Linked DNA regions of Ovis aries. The protein of the gene in region 1 binds, or shares a complex with, the protein of each later gene. Links are inferred from orthologs where the notes say so. Each region holds a gene or a part of one and is shown on either strand. Other genes may lie near its edges.

Region 1 (7,827 bases):
CTTAAAAGAGCCCAGTAATTATCCATCTATAAGATCTGCCAGTCACACAGTTGATTTTCTAATCATTCACATCGCATCTCCTTAAAGTGAAATATCTTCTAGCTGCTACGTTTGCTCAGGCAATTTAACCAAAGTGCCAGAAAAGACACTGGTTGGAGACTGAACCTTGCCCTGTTTTATCTGATTAAATGCACTATTGGTACGATTTTGTTCTAACCCTAGTAATCTCACTTTGTTAGATGGAAAACAGGATGTATGACCGTGTTTAACTTACTGGAAAATTCAAGGCAGGCTTCTCTGAGGAAGGGAGACGCTGGGATGGATACATGAAATGCCAGTGGGAGTTTCTTAGGTAAAAAGTGACAGAAGAGTGTGCCAGGGATAAAAGTGGGATGTGCAAGGGTCCTGGTGCAAGAGGGACATGATAAGCCATGGGGCTGCTGTGAGCAGACAGGCTGTGAGAGGTGATCAAGGACCACCTGCCTTTGAAGTCTTCTTCAGGAAGTAGAACAAAAGACTCAAACAACTGGGGGGAAAACTGATACAAGAGGTTGTGGGTTTCATTTGTTCATTTAAAATGTATTTATTGAGCAATAAAATGATGAAACATACAGAAGGGAATCAATTTCATGCCAGTAAAGGGGAGTTCTGGGTGTCACTGAGTTACAAGATAGAGAAGTAGGAGGCTGGTGAGCACAGTAGGTACTACCAAAGAAATCGGGAAGACACTTCAGCAATAAATGTACCTATCAGTGTATCATTTGTTCTTACTAATTATTCAATGGAAAAGACTCTGATGCTGGGAGGGATTGGGGGCAGGAGGAGAAGGGGACGACAGAGGATGAGATGGCTGGATGGCATCACCGACTTGATGGACGTGAGTCTGAGTGGACTCCGGGAGTTGGACAGGGAGGCCTGGCATGCTGCAATTCACGGGGTCGCAAAGAGTCGGATACGACTGAGCGACTGAACTGAACTGAACTGATTATTCTGCTTAAGTTTTACCATGAACAATGTTTAAATAGATCATAACTTTAAATTGTTGACAAAAGCAACCACCCCATGTATTTCAGACTTACCTACTGAATTGTTGGTGGGTTAGCACAAGGCCTTCTAACCTTATAGGGAACTTCACATCACAGCTCCCCACCATGTTCTGAATCTTGAAGTCCAGGAACTTAGCTGGAAAGCCCAACTTCTGTACAACTCTGGCATACTTTCTTGCTGCTAGTCTAGACTGTTCTTCACTAGGGAAGAAAAAGCGAGCTATTCATTCTCAAAGACAGCTGACGCAATTATTTAGACGAGAGAAACTTTCCCACGTCCTTGACAGAAAACTGCAGGCCTACCAAAACGAGTACCTTTCAAGTCACCAAATTATTGATAGCCCCAGATTTCATGGATATGAAGTATAATATCAGCATCACCATTATCATGAATATTGCTGTATTTAAGCCCACAAATTTGTACTAAGATAAAAACCAACAAGCGTCACTTTGATAGGAAAATACTGATGAGATTTATGCTCAAAGAATGTATACACTAATTCCTCTTTTATGGTATGTCCTTCTTTATCCATTCCTAGAACTGACTTGTTGGATAAAATATGACTTAGCAGTGCAGGGCTTCTGTAACAAAAGCAGAATGAAAGCCGTAGCATCATTGTTGACAAAAGGCTATCAAGTGCACAGTCACGAATGCCGAAAGTCTGGCACGTACACACGCTGAGTTACACAGAAATAAGGTTGGAACACACGTCCTAAACTAACGCCTATTGTTAAGAAAATGAAGCCGCCACTGTCTAAGGTGATGAGAATCAACTACTTTAATACGAAAGCAACAGTAACACTGTGTCTGCATTAAAGCAGCAGCCTAGCCCTAGATGCCATGGCACAGCCGTCTCTGTAACATGCAGGCCTGGACAAGGAGCTCCTCTAACCCACCTCTTGGCTCCCGTGCACACCATCTTCCCAGAGCTGAATATCAGTGCGGTGGTGCGGGGCTCTCTTATTCTCATGATGACAGCTGCAAACCGCTGGAACAGCCAGAGACAACAGTTAATGAGGTCAGACTGCTGACTTCCATCAGGAGACCTACACAACAACAGGAGCATCCCAGACAACGAGAGGGACCTGGTGCTGAGCCAGTTACGACACCTGTCACGTGTTTCCTTACAGGACTCCCTTCCATCGCCACGTGGCACACATGCTTTTGCATAGGAAACAAACACGTCAACTGTGACGACAGAGGCAGCTGGGCCAAGAGTTTTGGATTCTGTCATGACATCCCAACAACTGAAGATAAATAATATCTGCAAAACTTTACCTGTGAATTTTCTGTTTTATTAATGATTTTTTAGGCAAATCAACTTACAAACCTTTCCACCTCCAGAAGGAATATATCAGATTACAAGCACATCAGCACACAGTGAAGCGACCTCCCCATTCCCGTAGACTCTTAGAAACTGCACTGCTTTACTGGCATTTATACAAATGCAGTGGCTTCTCTAAAAATGTGATATCTGCTACCTAAGTACACATAAAAATTCACATATTTCTAATGAAGATGACTCTGATAAGTTAGATAGCTTTAACAATTTTAATTTAAAAACTATGATCTGTCTTCCTTCTAACTTTACCACCATGTAAAAATGGTAGCATTATATTCTAGTTTATACAAGTCCCAGGAAATGTCTAATTATTTAGCATTTTCTAAATTCCTTCTATAGTTTTTTACATTTCCTAAATTCCTTTAACCAGTTTTACTGGTTGGATAACTACTATCATTTCATTAGAAAAAAAAAAAAATGTAAAATTATGTATTCAACTTAATAAAATTATGATAGACAAAAGGTTAATTCTTATAATGCTATACTCATACAGATTTGCCATATGCATTAGGTTGCTATCTTAAAATCTGAAAATTTGTAGGTATTTTCTTCTTAATCTTTTTATTTAAAAAAAAAAACTTGGCAGTTATACAAAGGTAGAAAAATATATTAAACTTCCTTGTGCTTATTATCCAACTTTAACAATTACTAGTTTTTGGCTAATCTTGTCTCATTCAAATGCCCCTTTCCCAATTCTCCAATTGCATTATTCTGAAGTAAATTCCAAGTAGCCTGGCATTCTATTCTACATAGTTTTCAAAATGCAAATGGGACCACACTACATACTTTGTTCAGTAACTGTGCATGATCCCCTCACAGTAAGTATGAGACTTTATCCTGTGGACTGCTGTATTCTGACAGTCTCTTACTTGGCAGTTATTCAACAAAAACGCTACATATTTTGCTTTAAATTCTTGTTTGGTTGGTGTCAACAAACTTAAACACAACATATTCTTTTTAATCGAAAGACCTCTGGAAGAAAATTCTGTTATCACTGTGGTTTGATACAATTGTTCTGACCTTGGGATTATACTCAGCATTTCGGGCACGAAGTGCAATGGTCTTTAGGTCAAGTTTACAACCAAGATTCACTGTGGATACAATATTTCTGTAAAAAATTTGAAAAGAAAACATGATTATTTACTGTTAGTTATCTAAAAAACACAATCTTTCCTAATTTTTTTTAATTAAACAAATTTTTTAATTGCTGACATTAAGTGTTCAAACAAGTACCAAACACCATGCCAACATAATACAAAGATAACCTCACTTAGTACTCACAATACACTATGAAGTAATAACTATTAATACTGCCATCTTCAGATGAAGAAACTGCTCTGTATATACATGCCTAAGTGAGGCATGTATATACCTTCTTTCAAAATAAGTATCTTGGACAAACAAAAATTAAATTATCTCTGACAAAGGAAGGAAACCTTTTTCTTCCAATTAACGCTCAGTAGATCAAGAAAACCAGACACTGATATTTATTACATAGGTCCAATGAACTTTTTTAACTCTTTCTCCTCTCTTTGGGGGCCCCCCACCCCGCCCAGTTGCTCCCCCTGATGTCAGGGGGCAACTGGTATTCCGGAGCAGCCCCTCCGTAACTGTGCTGAGGCGCCTGCGCCTCACAGCATCGCAGGCGGGAGACAAAAACTCCCTTTTCATTTTTAACATTTTTATACATCTGTTTTCTTCTAATCAATTTTATATACACAAGTTCCCATAACTTTATCTATTTACTTCATAGAATCGGTAGCAACATCCCTACTGTCCTTTCTGATTTTAGCACTCTGAGTCTTCACTTTTTGTTAGTCTAACTACATGTTGATTTTTTCAAAGAACCAATCTTTTGTTTCATTGATTTTCTCTAGTGTTTTCTTTGTCTCTATTTCATCTATCTCTGCTCTAATCATTATTTCCTTCCTTCTTACAGTTTTTGGTTTAGTTTGCTCTTTTTCTAGTTGTAATGTTATTGCTTTGAAATATTTTTTTTAATGTGATCCTTTGCAGCTATAAATCTCACCCTCAGCACCATATTTGCTGCATCCCAAATATGTTCCGTGCTCCATCAGGCTTCCATTAAGTCTATCAGGCTTCTCTGCCCGTGGAATTTTCCAAGCAAGAATACTGGAGTGGGTTGCATTTCTTACTCCAGAGGATCTTCCTGACCCAGGGATCCAACCACATCTCTTGCACCTCTTGCACTGGCAGGCAATTCTTTATACCACTAGCACCACTTGGGAAGCCCTATACAGTATTTTCATTTTTATTTGTCTTAACTATTTTCTAATTGCCCCTGTGATCTCTGATCCACTGGCTGTTTAAAAGTATGTTATTTAATTTCCACAATTCTGTGAACTTTGGGGGATGCTTTGTGGAATACCAGAAATATTAAGGTGCTGGCAAGAAATAAACACCCATCTGAACTGGGTATAAATTACAATTTAAACCAAAGGTGCAAACTTAAATGGGCATAGGAGCCAGGTAACTGTGCAAGACAACAGCATATGGTATTTTCAAAGGTGAACTAGTAAGTGCTTATCTTTCTAAAATCATTAACATTATTTTGTTTTTTTAAATTGTTTCAGACCAAACACACACCCAGGGCAAGATTTAGGTCTCTGTGTAACAGTCATGATCCATGATTAAACATTACTTAGTTCTAAAAATGATTAGGAGTGACTGGCATGAAAACTGGGTGATGTATTATTACAAATAACCCTTCATGTGGTTATAAGCTTCCTCATGGCAAAAGCTATATAATTCTTACTGACAGATATGAGGATATCTGTTTTTCAGGGAGGAGAAATTTTCCCTACCTGTCCCCCTACCCTTTTCCTGTTACATACAGGACCCACTGCACATAGGTAGAAAGATCCATTTAGGGCAAGAACAGCCATCCTCAGCTTGTGGGAAGGACACAGCTCTCAAAGATTTATATGCAGCCCTTATAATAAACAATGAAGAAAAACAGGGACCACTATGAACAATGATGATTCTGTGACTTTGCAATTAATCTTTCCAAAGACTTATAATACCACAAGGGAGGGAGACTATATAAGGCTTGATCTGGTTAATCAGCTACAGTGAAATATCAACAACAATAATGCAATCCAAACTGGACTTCACTGGCCCAAGCATCTAAGCACAGCTACCAAATTCCTGAAGATGTCCTGAGAGACCTTTACTGGGGGCACTGACTCACTAAGACAGCTTCCCTTCCCTTTCTCAAGTAAGATAAAGCATGTTTTGATGCATGATCACCAGTAACACTACACAAGTGAATCAATCCATCTGAGAGCAGAGAACAGCAGCGCAGCTGCGGGGGTCCCTCCAGGGCAGGGGCAGGGCACCAAGGAGAACTCACTGCAGCTGCGGCACGATCCCGGAGCTCTCTGAGGCTGGCGTGGCAGGGGTGATGGGGGTCATGGGGGTCATGGGGGAGGGGTATAAGGGAGTGGTGCCCGGCAAGGGTGCAGTCGTAAGAGTCTGTGAGTGGAAGAGCTGTGGTGTCTGGCCCGAGGGCCCCTGGGTTGCCTGCTGGGACGTCGACTGCTGGACGGCTGCCACTGCCGCCTGCTGCTGCTGTTGCTGCTGCTGCTGCTGCTGTTGCTGCTGCTGCTGTTGCTGCTGCTGCTGCTGCTGCTGCTGCTGCTGCCGTTGCTGCTCCTCCAAAATAGACAGACTGTTGGTGTTCTGAATAGGCTGTGGAGTCAGTCCTGTGCCGTAAGGCATCATTGGACTAAAGATAGGGATTCCAGGAGTCATGGCACCCTGTGGGCAGTTAGAGAACAATGGGTTAGACTGGCTGGTGTCAAGCATCTGCAGAACTCGGCTGGCAGAAGTGCAGGTGAGATGTGCAGACAGGCACCGTCCGAGAACAAATGGGGCTGTTGGGCCATCATCTCACACCCCTCACTTTCTTCTTCACCGCAGCCCAGTAGCACAGAGCTAGTAGGTAAGAGCTTAGGGTGTGGAAGTAGACCTAGCTGTGAAATTCAACGAACAACACGTGAGAATTTAGGAAGATGCTTAACCCTTCAGGCTCTAGAGGGTAACAATGGTCTAAGACTGTGAAAAAATTGAGAATTTCCATTCTTTGAAAGATACCATTAAGAAAATTAAAAATTAAGACACAGATTAGGAGAAAACATCTACCATACATACATCTGAGAAAGAACTTGTATCCAGAATAAAGAACAATCAAAATGCAATAAAAGATGAACAAACAGACCAATAAAAAACGGACAAAAGATGTGAAGGACATTTTACAAATGCAGATACATGAACAGTTACTAAGCAGTTGACAAAATGCTCAAGATCGTAAGTCAACAGGAAAACACTTTCACTTTTAGACTCAAGTGAAAACAGAAGTGCTGGTGAGGGTGTGGAGCAACGAGAATGCTCACATGCTGCGGCAGGACTTGAGAGCATGCAGGGCACTTTCTTGTAAAGTTAAACACACACTTACACAACGACCCAGCAATCCCATTCCTGAGTATCTACCCAAGAGAAATAAACACACAGCAGACATGAAGACTATACACATACAGCACCTTTACTCCCAATTGCTTCAACCTAGAAACAGCCCTAAGGTCAGCAACTGGAAAACAAACTGTGCTACATCCACACAAGAGGCCACTTGGCAATGAAAAGGAATTCGCTGATATATGCAAACATTATGCTGGGCTAAGATGACAGACCCACAGAAAGCACACACTGACTGGGAGGGTGCCACCTGCACAGTACCCTAGCACAGGCAAAGCTGCCTCTACGTCTGGAAAGTGGATCAGCTGTTGCCTGGGGCCAGGGGAGTAACTGTAAAGGGGCAGAGAGGGATTTTTAGGCTAAATGAAATGTTTCAGAACTTTCAAAGGTGCATACACTTATCAAAACACATACTTAAAATGGGTTTTTTTATTTAACAGAAGTTATTTAAAAATTTTAAAAGTAGATATGTTATTTGGAACTTTAAACATAAAAAGGAAAAGATAAAGCTAGAAAATAATTAGGTTACTTACAAAATCAAACACTCTGTAATCACTCGGACCACTTTCGTAAGTGTTTATCAAAAGATTAAGTCTTATAGACAAATATATATTTTAGCTCCCAAACTTCCCAAATTAAACGTTATCATGCCTATTAAAAATCTAAAGGAAATTCTCAATGAAATAAAGAAGACTTTAAAAAATGTAAGTCCATTTTCAGCAATAGATGGCTTAATTCCCTTCCTTCCCTTTCACAGTATCTCTAACAGTGCAGATTCTGTCCACGTGCACCCTCCCTCCAGTTGCATTACCTGAGGGGAGGCCAGACCCTGGGCATAAGGTGGGAGGCTGTTGTTCTGATCCATGACGTTCACCTTCTTGGCAAATCAAAAACCTTTGGACTAGAAATTGCCTCAGCATTCAGTCTTTTCCTAGAGCATCCCC
Region 2 (8,430 bases), on another chromosome or scaffold:
CTCATAGGTCACCTTCTCAGTGAGACCTTTCTTGACCACTTCACTTATTTTTTTTAATTAACTTTTACTGGTACGGTTGCTTTACAGGGCTGTGTTAGTTTCTATTGTACAGTGAAGTGAATTAGCTATAGGTATACCATGTACGTGTAGCCCATCCCTCTTTTTTTTTGGATTTCCTTCCCATTTAGGTCACCACAGAGCACTGAGTAAGGTTCCCTGATCTATGCAGTAGGTTCTCATTAGTTATCTATTTACACTTAGACTTAGTATCAATAGCGTATCAATATGCCAACCCCAGTCTCCCAATTTGTCCCATCCTTCTTTGTCCCATCCCTTGGTGTTCATACTGTTGACTACTCCATTTATACTGTTGACCGCTCCATTTAAAATTGAAACCGCCTTATGGCTCCCATTCTCCTTTACCTGTTTTATTTTTCCCTCCTTGGCAATCATGCCCATTTAATATACCATATATTTTCCTTATTTATTTTTTCTCTCCCCACTAGATTATAATCTCCATAAAAGCAGGAATATTTCTTTACTGGGCTCACTACTGAATCCTCAAGACCTAAAACAGCACCTGTTTAGTGAAATGAATGTGTTCAATGAAGGGACAACAATGAAACTAAATTTAATAAGTATTTACCATGCGAGGATCCCTTGCAAGGGACTCATGGATAGTAGCTAATTTTTACAGGGGAGGCACAGAAAAGCTGTGATAAGAAACCCAGGTGTAATTCAACAATGTGTTCTTTCCTCCAGAACCTGGCACCTCTCCTGTGCTGTGAAAAGCCGCAAGTAGGTGGAGAATCCAGAGGGTTCAGGGTACAAGCCATGGCACCCCTCGCAGCCCACATACTTAGAGTATAGCCAGGAGAGATCAGCTGTCAGTTCAGTTCAGTTCAGTCGCTCAGTCATGTCCAGCTCCTTGTGAGCCCATGGACTGCAGCACACCAGGCTTCCCTGTCCATCACCAGCTCCCAGAGCTTACTCAAACTCACGTCCATGAGTTGGTAATGCCATCCAACCATCTCATCCTCTGTCGTCCCCTTCTCCTCCTGCCTTCTATCTTTCCCAGCATCAGGGTCTTTTCCAATAAGTCAGCTCTTCACATCAGGTGGCCAAAATACTGGAGTTTCAGCTTCAACACCAGTCTTTCTAATGAATATTCGGACTGATTTCCTTTAGGATTGATTGGTTGGATCTCCTTGCAGTCCAAGCGACTCTCAAGAGTCTTCTCTAACACCACAGTTCAAAAGCATCAATTCTTTGGCCCTTAGCTTTCTTTATAGTCCAACCCTCACATCCATACATGACTACTGGAAAAACCACAGCTTTGATGAGATGGACCTTTGTTGGCAAAGTAATGTCTCTACTTTTTAATATGTTATCTAGGTTGGTTAAAGCTTTTCTTCCAAGGAGCAAGCATCTTTTAATTTTAAGGTTGCAGTCACCATGTGCAGTGGTTTTAGAGACCCCCAAAATAAAGTCTCTCACTGTTTCCATTATTTCCCCATCTATTTGCCATGAAGTGATTGAACTGGATGCCATGATCCTAGTTTTCTGAATGCTGAGTTTTAAAGTCAACTTTTTCACTCTCCTCTTTCACTTTCATCAAGAGGCTCTTTAGTTCTTCACTTTCTGCCATAAAGGTGGTGTCATCTACATATCTGAGGTTAGTGATATTTCTCCCTGCAATCTTGATTCCAGCTTGTGCTTCTTCCAGCCTGGCATTTTGCATGATGTACTCTGAACATAAGTTAAATAAGCAGGGTGACAATATACAGCCTTGACGTACTCCTTTCCCAATTTGGAACCAGTTTGTTGTTCCATGTCCAGTTCTAACTGTTGCTTCTTGACCTGCATACAGATTTCTCAAGAGGCAGGTCAGGTGGTCTGGTATTCCCATCTCTTTCAGAATTTTCCACAGTTTGTTGTGATCCACACAGTCAAAGGCCTTGGCATAGTCAATAAAGCAGAAGCAGATGTTTTTCTGGAACTCTCTTGCTTTTTCGAAGATCCAGCGGATGTTGGCAATTTGATCTCTGGTTCCTCTACCTTTTCTAAAACCAGCTTGAATATCTGGAAGTTCACGGTTCACGTATTGCTGAAGCCTGGCCTGGAGAATTTTGAGCATTAGTTTGCTAGCATGTGAGATCAGTGCAATTGTGTGGTAGTTTGAACATCCTTTGCATTGCCTTTCTTTGGGATTGGAATGAACTGAGCTTTTCCAGTCCTGTGGCCACTGCTGAGTTTTCCAAATTTGCTGGCATACTGAGTGCAGCACTTTCACAGTGTCATCATTTAGGATTTGAAATAGCTCAACTGGAATTCCATCACCTTCACTAGCTTTGTTTGTAATGCTTCCCTAAGGCCCACTTGACTTCACATTCCAGGATGTCTGCCTCTAGGTGAGTGATCATACCATCGTGATTATCTGGGTCATGAAGATCTTTTTTGTATAGTTCTGTGTATTCTTGCCACCTCTTCTTAATATATTCTGCCTCTGTTAGCTCCATACTATTTCTGTCTTTTATTGTGTCCATCTTTGCATGAAAATTTCCCTTGGTATCTCTAATTTTCTTGCAGAGATCTCTAGTCTTTCCCATTCTGTTGTATTCCTGGATTTGTTTGCACTGACCACTGAGGAAGGCTTTCTTACGTCTCCTTGCTATTCTTTGGAACTCTGCATTCAGGTGGGTATAACTCTCCTTTTCTCCTTTGCCTTTAGCTTCTCTTCTTTTCTCAGCTATTTGTAAGGAAGGCCTCCTCAGACAACCATTTCGCCTTTTTGCATTTCATTTTTCGCATTTCTCACCAGCTGTCGGAAAAGACTGAATCCGCTCAGCAGTAGGCGCCGCCCACCTTTTTTTTTTAACTGATTGGCTCGGGTTCCTAGAGTAGGAACGGGATGCTTTCTGGGAGGGATGCCGGATTAGCGGAGCTTCCTCCCACCGCTCGCGGAGGCTTCCCTGCGGCTGTAGGGGACGGAAATCCAGAGTCAAGAGTCTGGGTTTCCGCCCGGAGGGCTCTTCCCGCCGCTCCCGGAAGCTGCGCTCGCTGCCCGGGTAACGGGTCCCGGCGGCTGAAGCGGCTGAAGCGCCGTTATGGACCTGGAGGAGACGGTGAGAAGTCCGGCTGCCGCGCGAGCAGGCGACGGGGCGGGAGGGCCGTGAGGCTGAGGAGCAGGCGCTGAAGGACGCCTGCCGGCCGTGGAGGCGCTCTGGTCTCGAAGTGGGGCGGGTCAGAAAGGGATGGAGCTGGCGGGCCGCGGGTACCGGCGTGGTGGGGGAGACAGGCTGGAGCCCCTGGCTGGCTGAGGTTGTGAGTGGAGACGGGGTGAGGTGTTGATCGAAGGGGGTGTGTTTTAGAGGGAGGATGAACTTGTGGGTTTTGTGAGGTGGCCGCCCTCGTGGCTCACCTCCTCTAGACTGGACCACCCGCAAGTTCCCTTTGATGCTGGAGGTTGGGCGAGGGAGGCCTGGGGCTGGAACCCGAATGCCCCCCAAGTAACCCCTGTAGCCCCAAGTAACGTCACATCTCCCAGCACCTAGTCTTTGGGAATCCTCGTCTCAGCCTTGCGTAGGGAGGGCCAAATTCGGGTGTGAGGGCACGGCCAAGATTTCACTAGTTACCAGTATAGGGTCCCTGAAAACTTGACCTGCTTTTTAAATCAATTAGCCGTGCGTTTTGCCAGTCTTTGATGAGAGTCCTTTGGACTGCGCGGAGATCCAACCAGTCCATCCTAAAGGAAATCAGTCCTGAATATTCATTGGAAGGACTGATGCTGAAGCTGAAACTCCAATACTTTGGCCACCTGATGCAAAGAACTGACTCATTTGAAAAGACCCTGATGCTGGGAAAGATCCAAGGCGGGAGGAGAAGTGGAGGACAGAGGATGAGATGGTTGGATGGCATCACCGACTCAATAGACATGAATTTGAGTAAACTCCAAGAGTTGGTGATGGACAGGGAGGCCTGGCATGCTGCAGTCCATGGGGTTGCAAAGTCAGACTGAGGGACTGAACTGAACTGAACTGATGGTGTTAGAGGAATATTGGGTAATTAGATCAATGATAATAAGATTTCACACACCGAAGAGCTGAGAATTAATTATTCACTGCCAGTCTATGTATGTACAGAAGCATCATGGTGATAGAAGGCTTTTCTCATTGTAGGTGCTCGATAAATGTCTCTTGAATGATGGTTAACGGTGTGTAGATACTTGGTTAATGAAATGAACAACTCGAACTTACCATGAACCTGTAGAGTTAGGAGTGGGGCTCTTGTCTGTTTTGCTCAACGTCACATCTCCAGCACTTAGTTAAGTGTATACATAGTAGGTACTCCTTGGATTGCTGAATGAACAAATGGAAACTTGAAATAACTGTAATAAAACTCTGGTTCCTTTGTGTTGGGTTATGTGTTCTTAGTGTCCTGGAGGAAGTTCCAAATGGTATGCTGTTTATGTCTTCTCTATACTTAAATCTCATCTTTTTTCCTCACAGCATTTTCAAGTTTTATTTACTCATCTTCCCCCACCCCCCACTTTACCGCTACCATCTTTTTTCTTCCCCTTCCCACACACTGCGTGTTTTAGTTTAATTCTGTTTCAAACTGCTCAGACTGAACTGCTGTTCTCCTTGTTTGTAGATAATAGTCTCTGGTATGTTTTCTATTTTCAGTGATTCTTTACTGATAGAGTAAAATTGCAGGGAAACCTTTAGGTAGAACGGCAGGGTTTAGGTGCAGTGTGTTAAATATGACGTTCCTTTTCTCCCACAGAGAGAGTTCAGAGAGCGCTGTTCTCAGTGTGCCGCTGTTTCTTGGGGTCTTACTGATGAAGGCAAATATTATTGCACTTCTTGCCACAATGTTACAGAAGTAAGTAACAAGTCTCATTTATGAATTTGCTTGTGCTTTAAAAATTGCAATGTCAGCCTAATGTATGGCATAGTACCCCCCCACCCCCGCCAAATTGATCTATTTTTATTACTAAGCAGTGCCCAAATACCGAGAATGTAAGTCGTCCTCAAGTACTGACACAAGGGTTAAAGACTTTGAATGAGATTTAGGATGAGCTTCTGAAACTATCTTGGGCCATAAATATAAGTGTTTTCCTGATTCAGACTGTATGGTATATTTATAAGGGGAAATAATTAAACTTGCACTTGGACGATGATAAATTTCTTTTCATTAGTTAGTACTTATTTAAGAGTTTTTAATGTGCCATGATAGCATGGAGGTTTGGAATATACAATGTTAGAGGACTGTCGTGAGTACTGGAAATATACATTGTTATCTTTATGTCTTTGCACAATGCCTTACACATCGTGAGTGTTTTCTTATCCATTCATTCATTTCCTCCTCTTTACAATGTGTGAGATACACTATTATGCCTGTCTACAGGTAGGGCAAGTGGGCCTCATCAGGTGAGTTTGCCAAAGTCTCATGGCTAGATAGTGTTGAGGCAGGATTTGAACCTGAGGCTTCTGACTCCAGTGTTCATTTTATTTTACCACATCTGCCTCTTAGGACAGAGGCTGACATCCTGTCCTGTGGGTCCTTGGTAAATGGGACTGCATTCACACAGGAAATGCTAGGTCCTCTTCTCGTCACCACAACCCTCAGGACAGAACAACATAACCAAATAATCCAGAGTGTGGACAGCCTGCTGTTGGGTGGGCTAAACACACCAGGACTTTTCTCTCCGGAAGAGGATTTGCTCAAACTCTACAGAGCCAGGAAGAGCAGATATGTTTATTATCTTTGCCCTGTAGTCCTCTGGGACTTTTTTGAGAAAAGTGGTTAATTTAGCTTGCAACTATCACTGAGACAGTCATTGTTCTTCATTCTGCTTCCCATTTGCTCACTCACAGTATTTATAAGATATGAACTCACTGGATGAAATTGTTGGGGCGATGATATGTTCATTACTTCGTTTGTGGTGATGGTTTCACGGATATACATACACACACATCAGATCATACACTTTAAATATGCACAGTTTGGTCCTTTGCTTTGATGTTTGTTGAGGCATTAACAGTTTTTGGTTTTGTACCAGCAGTGCAAATGTAAACATGGTGAAGCAAGATGTGTATAATGGACTGTCATTAGCAGATGAAGACAGCGTATACTTTCTTTGGAGAAATTAAACTATTAATACATTAACTAATTGCTTTCTTTTATTTGTCTTTGATAGTATTTCTATTTATTTCTGTCTGATAAAATCTGCTGCAGTCAGTTTTTAACTTGAAAGGTCCTAATACCAGTATTTCCACATTTGAAAGGTACCAGCTTTGTATGGAATAACCTGTCAAGAGTGGAGCCTTCTGGACGGTGGGCACCATCTTCCTATAGGCCCAGAACCTATCTCAGTGCCTCCCGTGTGATAGACAGAGCTGTGTGTTGCACAACCTCAGTGGTTCTCTTGGCTTTATGGCACGTTCTTTAGATAGAAAAGGACATGACTGGTGTGGGCTTGGTGTGCCAATGTTTAAATCCACCTGGTGGGAAATGGCCGGTGAGCTGTGGTTACACCTATGGAGAGTGGAGGTTGTGGTACAGCTTTCCGTGTTTTTCTGCTCCTTTCATTGCCCCTCAACTTACTCTTGTATGTAATTTTCATTTTCTAGATACCCATCATCTGAAGGAAGGCCTTCTGAATTGATAAAGGAATTAGAATGTTATCTTGATTGACTTTATACAGGAAAAATATTTTCAGGTCTTAAATCTGGTCTATGTATAGACATTCTTGCAAGTATTTTATGGGTATTTAATAAAGGTATAAGCGAAGATCATGTGAGTTTAACAGATTTATATGATCATAAGAACAGATTTACTGTAGAAAATGTAGAAATGATGAAGGTGAAAGCTACAATCACCAGTGAGCTCAACATACATTTCAGTAGCTTCCATTTAGTCTTTCATATGAGAGACTGTCTGTATATGAGAGGGGCAAGGGGATATGGGTGAGTACCCCCAATCTTGTGTGAATGTGTTAATTAACTGTATAAATAGTCCACAGTAAAACCATTCTGTAGTTACAGCTTCAGTCTGGGTATTTAGCTTTTTTTAGCTTTTAGTTATTTTGCATTTTGTCTAATTCTTATTTTAAGCCTTCCCCCGCTATCCCCCCCACCCCCACTCTTTATAGGTTTTACCTTTTTTTGTTGGGTAATTGCTCTGGTGTGTGTTCTGAAGTGTCTTATGTTCTCAGTGTGGCCAACCCCATCCACCAGAACAGCTTTGAATGTGGTTTCTGTGGAGTACAGAGAGAATGTGTTCCACAAATCCTGTTGTTAAGAGACATTTCTTTTATTCTTAATGAAAGTTGAAGGTAAATTTCATTCCAAATCTCTAGATTTAGACAAATACATAGGTAGTGTTCATTTTTGGTTAAAAATCTTCACCTTTCCCCCATCACGTAGGGCTGATGCTTTTATTAACATATTTTGGTTGTGAGAGAACCGGAATCTTAGGTCCCAGCCCTTGAGAGCACTTGGAATTGAAGACTTTGGGCTGAACTGTACTCAGCAGTAAGTCATTCTAAAATCCTATAGGTCTGATTAAGAATGAAAGTAGTATTTTTATAATTTCATAAAACTGTTTTAGAGTATGATTCAAACACAGAAAAGTAGAATGAAATAATCTGTGTGTAGCTTAGGCATTGCTAACTATAATAAATACAGAAATTATTTTAGTTTCAAAGTGGTTTGGGGTGGAGAAAAAAGGGTGAATAAATTTGACTTTAGGTGTCAAACAGTTAAAAACTGATTGAAGATAAAAGGTTATTCATTTGACAGTCATTTATCTGGTATAACTATTCTCCACACAGTTTTAGGTACTAAGAAGTTCTGAATCAGAAAAAAACATAAAGGCTAACCAGAGTGTTCCACTTTATCTAATTTTCCCAAAATGCTACGGTCACTAGTCCCGGCATCCATGGTCTGGTTCATTGCACGCCCCAGAGCATGCTTGGAAACACGGTCGAGGAGAAGTGAAGCTACCTGTGTATGGCCCTTTTTAATGGTCTGCTTCTGTTTCCTGCAGAGATCTAGGGAAGTTATAGACACTGGAGCTATTCCTAATACTAAAATACAAGCCATCAACCGGGGACTGAAAAGAAAACGAAAACTTGGTAAGCTCTTTCTTCATATATGCTTAGTATTTTTCAATCATGTTTTCATTTTCATAATTTGGGGGTGTGCAATTGGAATTTTAAATAGATTCTAATGAAGTTGCCAGAATTTTAAGCCAAAATTGAATTAAATTTGATAATTATTTTTGGTAAAATTGGAAGCAACTTCTTAAAGCATACCCATTTTTTATTCTGTTTATTGTAGATGATTTAATTTTTCAGTGGTGCAACTACTATGCAAAAAATACTACTAGTCAAGGGAGTGTATTTCTTTGTTTCTGTTGGCATAT
Region 3 (7,269 bases), on another chromosome or scaffold:
CTGATGAACTATGGATGGAGGTTTGTGACATTGTACAGGAGATTGGATCAGGACCATCCCCATGGAAAAGAAATGTCAAAAAGCAAAATGGCTCTCTGAGGAGGCCTTACAAATAGCTGTGAAAAGGAGAGAGGCGAAAAGCAAAGGAGAAAAGGAAAGATATAAGCATATGAATGCAGAGTTCCAAAGAATAGCAAGAAGAGATAAGAAAGCCTTCTTCAGTGATCAATGCAAAGAAATAGAGGAAAACAACATAATGGGAAAGACTAGAGATCTCTTCAAGAAAACTAGAGATACCAAGGGAACATTTCATGCAAAGATGGGCTCGATAAAGGACAGAAATGGTCTGGACCTAACAGAAGCAGAAGATATTAAGAAGAGGTGGCAAGAATACACTGAAGAACTGCACAAAAAAGATCTTCACGACCCAGATAATCACGATGGTGTGATCACTCATCTAGAGCCAGACATCCTGGAATGTGAAGTCAAGTGGGCCTTAGAAAGCATCACTATGAACAAAGCTAGTGGAGGTGATCGAATTCCAGTTGAGCTAGTTCAAATCCTGAAAGACGATGCTGGGAAAGTGCTACACTCAATATGCCAGCAAATTTGGAAAACTCAGCAGTGGCCACAGGACTGGAAAAGGTCAGTTTTCATTCCAATTGCAAAGGAAAGGCAATGCCAAAGAATGCTCAAACTACCACAAGATTGCACTCATCTCACACGCTAGTAAAGAAATGCTCAAAATTCTCCAAGCCAGGCTTCAGCAATACGTGAACTGTGGACTTCCTGATGTTCAAGCTGGTTTTAGAAAAGGCAGAGGAACCAGAGATCAAATTGCCAACATCCGCTGGATCATGGAAAAAGCAACAGACTTCCAGAAAAACATCTATTTCTGCTTTATTGACTATGCCAAAACCTTTCACTGTGTGGATCACAATAAAGTGTTGAAAATTCTGAAAGAGATGGGAATACCAGACCACCTGAGCTGCCTTTTGAGAAATCTGCATGCAGGTCAGGAAGCAACAGTTAGAACTGGACATGGAACAACAGACTGGTTCCAAATAGGAAAAGGAGTATATCAAGGCTGTGTATTGTCACCCTGCTTATTTAACTTATTTGCAGAGTACATCATGAGAAACACTGGACTGGAAGAAACACAAGCTGGAATCAAGAATGCCAGGAGAAATATCAATGACACCACCCTTATGGCAGAAAGTGAAGAGGAGCTAAAAGCCTCTTGATGAAAGAGAAAGAGGAGAGTGAAAAAGTTGGCTTAAAGCTCAACATTCAGAAAATGAAGATCATGGCATCTGGTCCCATCACTTCATGGGAAATAGATGGGAAACAGTGGAAACAGTGTCAGACTTTATTTTGGGGGGCTTCAAAATTACTGCAGATGGTGACTGCAGCCATGAAATTAAAAGACACTTACTCCTTGGAAGAAAAGTTATGACCAACCTAGATAGCATATTCAAAAGCAGATATATTACTTTGCCGACTAAGGTCCATCAAGGCTATGGTTTTTCCAGTAGTCATGTATGGATGTGAGAGTTGGACTGTGAAGAAGGCTGAGCGCTGAAGAATTGTTGCATTTGAACTGTGGTTTTGGAGAAGACTCTTGAGAGTCCCTTGGACTGCAAGGAGATCCAACCAGTCCATTCTGAAGGAGATCAGCCCTGGGATTTCTTTGGAAGGAATGATGCTAAAGCTTAAACTCCAGTCCTTTGGCCAGCTGATGCGAAGAGCTGATTCATTGGAAAAGACTTTGATTCTGGGAGGGATTGGGGGCAGGAGGAGAAGGGGACGACAGAGGATGAGATGGCTGGATGGCATCACTGACTCGATGGACATGAGTCTGAGTGAACTCCGGAATTTGGTGATGGACAGGGAGGCCTGGCATGCTGCGATTCTTGGGGTCTCAAAGGGTTGGACATGACTTAGCGACTGAATGAACTGAGCTGAACTGATGCTGAAGCTTCAATAATCTGCCTACCTGATGTGAAGAGCCAACTCTTTGGAGAAGACTCTAATGCTGAGAAAGATTGAAGGCCGGAGGAGAAAAAGGTGACAGAGGATGAAATGGTTGGATAGCATCACTTACTCAATGGAGATGAGTTGAACAAGCTCTGGGAGATAGTGAAGTACAGGGAACCCTGTTGTCCTGCAGTCTACGTGGTTGCAAAGAGTCAGACATGACTTAGCGACTGAATAACAATAACAACAATGTAGTATTTGGTTACTATTGACCTTCTGATGACACCTCAAAAGGAGGCATATCCACTTTATGTGATCCCAGATCACTGAGACATGATGATGTGGATGGCTGGATATCTAGAGCAGACAATGTCAATCACTAAGGATCCTCAGAGGGATGAAGCAGGACAGCAAAAGATTTCATCACATTCCTTGGAATGGCAAAGAATTTAAATGTGAATTGTTTGTTTCTGGAATTCTCGTTTGATATTTTCAGACTGTGGTTGACCACAGGTAAGTGAAACTCTGGAAATAAAAACTGTGGATAAGAGGAAACAACTGTATATAAAATATGATATATATTGCAGTATATTGCAGTTCCTTGGACTGCAAGGATATCTCACCTGTCAATCCTAAAGGAATATTCACTGGATAGACTGATGCTGATGCTGAAACTCCAATGCTTTGGCCACCTGATGCAAAGAGCCGACTCATTGGAAAAGATCCTGATGCTGAGAAAGATTGAAGGTGGGAGGAGAAGAGGATGACAGAGGATGAGATGGCTGGATGGCATCACTGACACAATGGACATGAGTTTGAGTAGGCTCCTGGAGTTGGTGATGGACAGGGAATCCTGGCATACTGAAGTCCATGGGGTCGCAAAAAGTCAGACACGACTGAATGACTGAACTGAGCTGATATTGCAGTAAAAACGGATGAATACAAGAATATTTTCTTTATCAAAGATAAAAAGCATGATCGATATGCTAGGAACTGTTTCCTAAGTTATTTCCTATATTAACATGTTTAACTGATATATAAAAATACAGTGAAATATTGAAGTATTATTACCTCCATTTTGCATAATGAATTATTATTAGCTCCATTATTACCTCCACTGGGTATAGAGAATGTGTATAAAAACCTAATTTAAAAAAAAAAAAGCGATGTTGCTTCCGAACATCCTGCTCACCGGTACACCAGGGGTTGAAAAAACTACATTAGGCAAAGAACTTGCATCAAGATCAGGACTGAAATACGTTAATGTGGGTGATTTAGCTCGAGAAGTTTGATCACCGGATATCATGGAGTCTGGCAAGATGGCTTCTCCCAAGAGCATGCCGAAAGATGCACAGATGATGGCACAAATCCTGAAGGATATGGGGATTACAGAATATGAACCAAGAGTTATAAATCAGATGTTGGAGTTTGCCTTCCGATATGTAACCACAATTCTAGATGATGCCAAAATTTATTCAAGTCATGCTAAGAAAGCTACTGTTGACGCAGATGATGTGCGGTTGGCAATCCAGTGTCGTGCTGACCAGTCTTTCACCTCTCCTCCACCAAGAGATTTTTTATTAGATATTGCAAGGCAAAGAAATCAAACCCCTTTGCCATTGATCAAGCCATACTCAGGTCCTAGATTGCCACCTGATAGGTATTGCTTGACTGCTCCAAATTATAGACTGAAGTCTTTACAAAAAAAGGCATCTACTTCTGCAGGAAGAATAACGGTTCCACGGTTAAGCGTTGGTTCAGTTACTAGCAGACCAAGTACTCCCACGCTTGGCACACCAACCCCACAAGCCATGTCTGTTTCAACTAAAGTAGGGACTCCAGTGTCCCTCACAGGGCAAAGGTTCACAGTACAGATGCCCACTTCACAGTCCCCAGCTGTAAAAGCATCAATTCCTGCAACATCAGCTGTTCAGAATGTTCTAATTAATCCGTCATTAATTGGGTCCAAAAATATTCTTATTACCACTAACATGGTCTCATCACAAAATACTGCCAATGAAACATCAAACACATTGAAAAGGAAACATGATGACGATGATGACGACGACGATGACTATGATAACTTGTAATCTAGCCTTGACGCATGTAACTTGTATACTTGGTTTTGAATCTGTTGTACTGAGATTAAACATGCATGCTGGATATTTCCATGTTGTGTTCTAGAAAGAATAGTATTTAATGAGTAAATATGCTTACCATACTTTTTGATTGAGCTGTTGTGTTAGATTTTCTTTGATAGGATTAGTAATGGTTTCTCGTCACCCTTTAAGTGTAAAAAATAAAGTTGCAATTCGTGCATTTAAAAAAAAAAAAAGCAAATCCAGAAGACTGCATATAGAAGACTGCATACAGAATGCTACCTTATTTTACTAAAACTAAAAATCAAACAATGCTCAAGATTATGTTATTTAGGAATATATATGCAAGAAAAAATTTTCCAAGAATGGGTGTATTATATGGTTAAAAATTAAGAGAGTAATTATCTCCAGGAGATTAGCAGACCTACAGATGGGTGATAGCTTTGAAAGTATTAGCAATGGTCTAGCTCTTATGACTTTCCCGGCGGCTCAGAGAGTAAAGCGTCTGCCTACAAAGTGGGAGACCTGGGTTCAATCCCTGGGTTGGGAAGACATCCTGGAGAAGGAAATGGCAACCAACTCCAGTATTCTTGCCTGGAAAATCCCATGGATGGAGGAACCTGGTAGGCTACAGTCTACAGGGTTGCAAAGAGTTGGACACGACTGAGTGACATTTACTAATATTACTTTAGCTCTTATGACAGGTGGTAGATTCATAGTTGATGATTACAAGATGATGCTTCATAACTTTTATAGGCATTATATATAGTTTTACTTATACCAAAATTATACTTTAAGAAGTTTAGCACCTGCATTTTGTGATATTTAGATTAACTGTTCAGGGGCTATTTTTCTTATTTCCTGGTTTCCAGCTACAGTGCTTAAGAGATAGGATTACTAGGTAGCTGACTTCTAGAGCAGCAAACAAAATTATAACTTTTTTTTCTTTTCAGTCTGGGTAGTCATTCTAAACATAAATCAGTTTCAAAATAATGCTTATAAAAGAATAAATGGTCCCACTAAATGCAAAAAACAATTTGACCACTGAGAAATATGTTAACAGCTTTCTCAAATCAATATGCCAACATTATTGTAATTTCTGAATAATGGTAATAAAAACAACACTTCCAGATAGAGCTCTAACATGTAAAAAGTTGTGAAGCTATCAAACCTGTCCTTAAGACAAGAAAACATTTTATAAACTAAAACCAGTGACTTTTGTTGAACAACAGAAAACTGAATTTGTAGGGTTAATTGTTGCTCCACAGTCTGGACATGCAGGCACATTCAGAGAGACAGAAGATCTGCTTACCTGGAGCAGAAGCTGATGAAGCAACAGATAAGAGCACTTAAATAGTAATTTTGATGAACTGTTGATAGTGTGGACTAGTATAAGAGGAAATTCTGGAGATCACAGTCTAAGGGGTTCAGTACTTGTTCCATGCAGCTCACCAAGTTCTCACTGTGAAGATTCGAGAATACCTTATGGCTCTGGCAGGGCTGGGGATAGAAGAGAAATCACTGCAAAATGCATTCAGAGCACTTTCCATCAGGAAGACCTAAACTCCAGGGGAAAAGACTTTACCAAATCCTTCCCCAGCTGGGAAAGAACATTTCTCCCACTGTGCCTTTCTCTATCCTTCCCATTACATTTTAAAAGTGAACAACATCTATATCATTGGAAAAATATTTGTAACAGTCACAGACTAGAACCACAAGCCTAAACCAAGATTTAGTCACAGAAATATAAAATTCTTTCTTTCCCCTACATCTGGCCACTATACCAGGGATCCAGAGTACAGTGAATTACAGATGAAAGATGTAGACTCTGTCTGCAGAAGAGTGAGATGGGAGTTCAAAAATAAAAGGAGAGATAATAACAAGAACACTGGAGGAATTTGAAGTCTCTGGTAACTACAGTACCAGCTAACATTGAACACAAACTTATAGCCAGATTAACATAAATTCTCACACTAATGACATCTAGACTTCACTACTAGTTACTTAATACATGTACATCTTTCAACAAAAAGCTGTAAGACATTAGAAAGAAAGAAAGAGGGAAAGGAGAAGGAAGAAAAGAAAAGGGAGGGAAGGGAGGGAAGGTGGGAAGATGGAAACTGTGAAGAGCCAAAGCAAGCATCAGAATCAGACTCAGTTATGACACAGATATCAGAATTACCAGATATGAAATTTAATGTTACTATGACTAATATGTTAAGGGCTCAAATGTAAAAATAAACTGTCAGAAGAACAGATGAGTAATGTAAGTAGAGTGATGGAAACACTAGGAAAGAATCTAAAGAAAAAAGTGAGAAGTCAGAAACATTGTAACATAAATAAATAATGCCTTCGACAGGTTTATTAGTAGACTGTACATGGCCAAAGAGAGAATCAGTAAGGTTGAAGCTGGGTCAATAAACTTCCCAAACTGAAATGCCAAAAAAAAAAAAAATTTAAAAAAAGAAAAAGGAATAACAGCAAAAAACTGTAATAGAACATCTAAGAAATGTGGGCCAACTTCAAAAGATGTAGCATATGTATAATGAGAATACAAGGTGAAGAAAGAGAGATAAGAATAGAAGAAACACTTGAAGAAATACTGAACTTTCCAAACATATCCAACATATTCAACCATCTCAGAAGATGCCAAACAAGTTGAATAACTACTACTACAACAAAACCTCTATACCTAATCACGTCATATTCAAATTTCTGTAAGCCAAACACAAAGAGGAAATCGTAAAAGAAATCAGGAAATATCACCCTACCTAAGAATTACAATGGTATTCTCATAAGAAATCATGCAAGAAGAAAGTGAACTGAAATATTTAAAGTGTTGAAAGAAAAAGACACTAACCTAAAATTAAATGGCTGGTGAAACTAACTTTTAAAAGTGAAGGAGACATAAGGATTTAAAAAAAAACTTAGAAAATTCACTCTCAGTACATCTACCTTAAAAGAAATTTCAAAAATTCTTTAGGGAGAAGAAAAATGAGATACATCAAAAGCCAAAATCTACATACAGCAATGAAGCACATCAGAAAGGGAATACAGTTTTTAAAAGCCTTCATTTTTGTTCTTAATCAATCTGAAAGATAACTGTTCAAAGTAATACTAATAATAAAATAGGTAATTATATCATAATAAGTGAAATGAATGGGAACAAGCACAACAGATGAGGGGGAGGAAT

Evidence for each region. The genes of interacting proteins can lie anywhere in the genome.
Region 2: TBP (region 1) and TAF1B share a complex: the UniProt entries of both Homo sapiens proteins name them as parts of the transcription factor SL1/TIF-IB complex. The link is inferred for Ovis aries from reciprocal best matches to the Homo sapiens genes TBP and TAF1B.
Region 3: TBP (region 1) and transcription initiation factor TFIID subunit 9-like share a complex: the UniProt entries of both Homo sapiens proteins name them as parts of the TFIID basal transcription factor complex. The link is inferred for Ovis aries from reciprocal best matches to the Homo sapiens genes TBP and TAF9.

What each region holds. Positions count from the first base shown.
Region 1 is NC_056061.1:91,742,408-91,750,234, reverse strand, and holds part of TBP (TATA-box-binding protein), read right to left. Parts: 5' UTR 7,749-7,827; coding exon 7,695-7,748; intron 6,170-7,694; coding exon 5,763-6,169; intron 3,498-5,762; coding exon 3,410-3,497; intron 2,036-3,409; coding exon 1,944-2,035; intron 1,248-1,943; coding exon 1,080-1,247; intron 1-1,079. UniProt on the Homo sapiens protein: The TFIID basal transcription factor complex plays a major role in the initiation of RNA polymerase II (Pol II)-dependent transcription.
Region 2 is NC_056056.1:19,091,065-19,099,494, forward strand, and holds the start of TAF1B (TATA box-binding protein-associated factor RNA polymerase I subunit B), read left to right. Parts: upstream 1-3,059; 5' UTR 3,060-3,107; coding exon 3,108-3,125; intron 3,126-4,178; exon of another isoform or gene 4,179-4,339; intron 4,340-4,785; coding exon 4,786-4,884; intron 4,885-8,052; coding exon 8,053-8,140; intron 8,141-8,430. UniProt on the Homo sapiens protein: Component of RNA polymerase I core factor complex that acts as a GTF2B/TFIIB-like factor and plays a key role in multiple steps during transcription initiation such as pre-initiation complex (PIC) assembly and postpolymerase recruitment events in polymerase I (Pol I) transcription.
Region 3 is NC_056065.1:58,196,995-58,204,263, forward strand, and holds transcription initiation factor TFIID subunit 9-like, read left to right. Parts: upstream 1-3,143; 5' UTR 3,144-3,281; coding exon 3,282-4,067; 3' UTR 4,068-4,198; downstream 4,199-7,269. UniProt on the Homo sapiens protein: The TFIID basal transcription factor complex plays a major role in the initiation of RNA polymerase II (Pol II)-dependent transcription.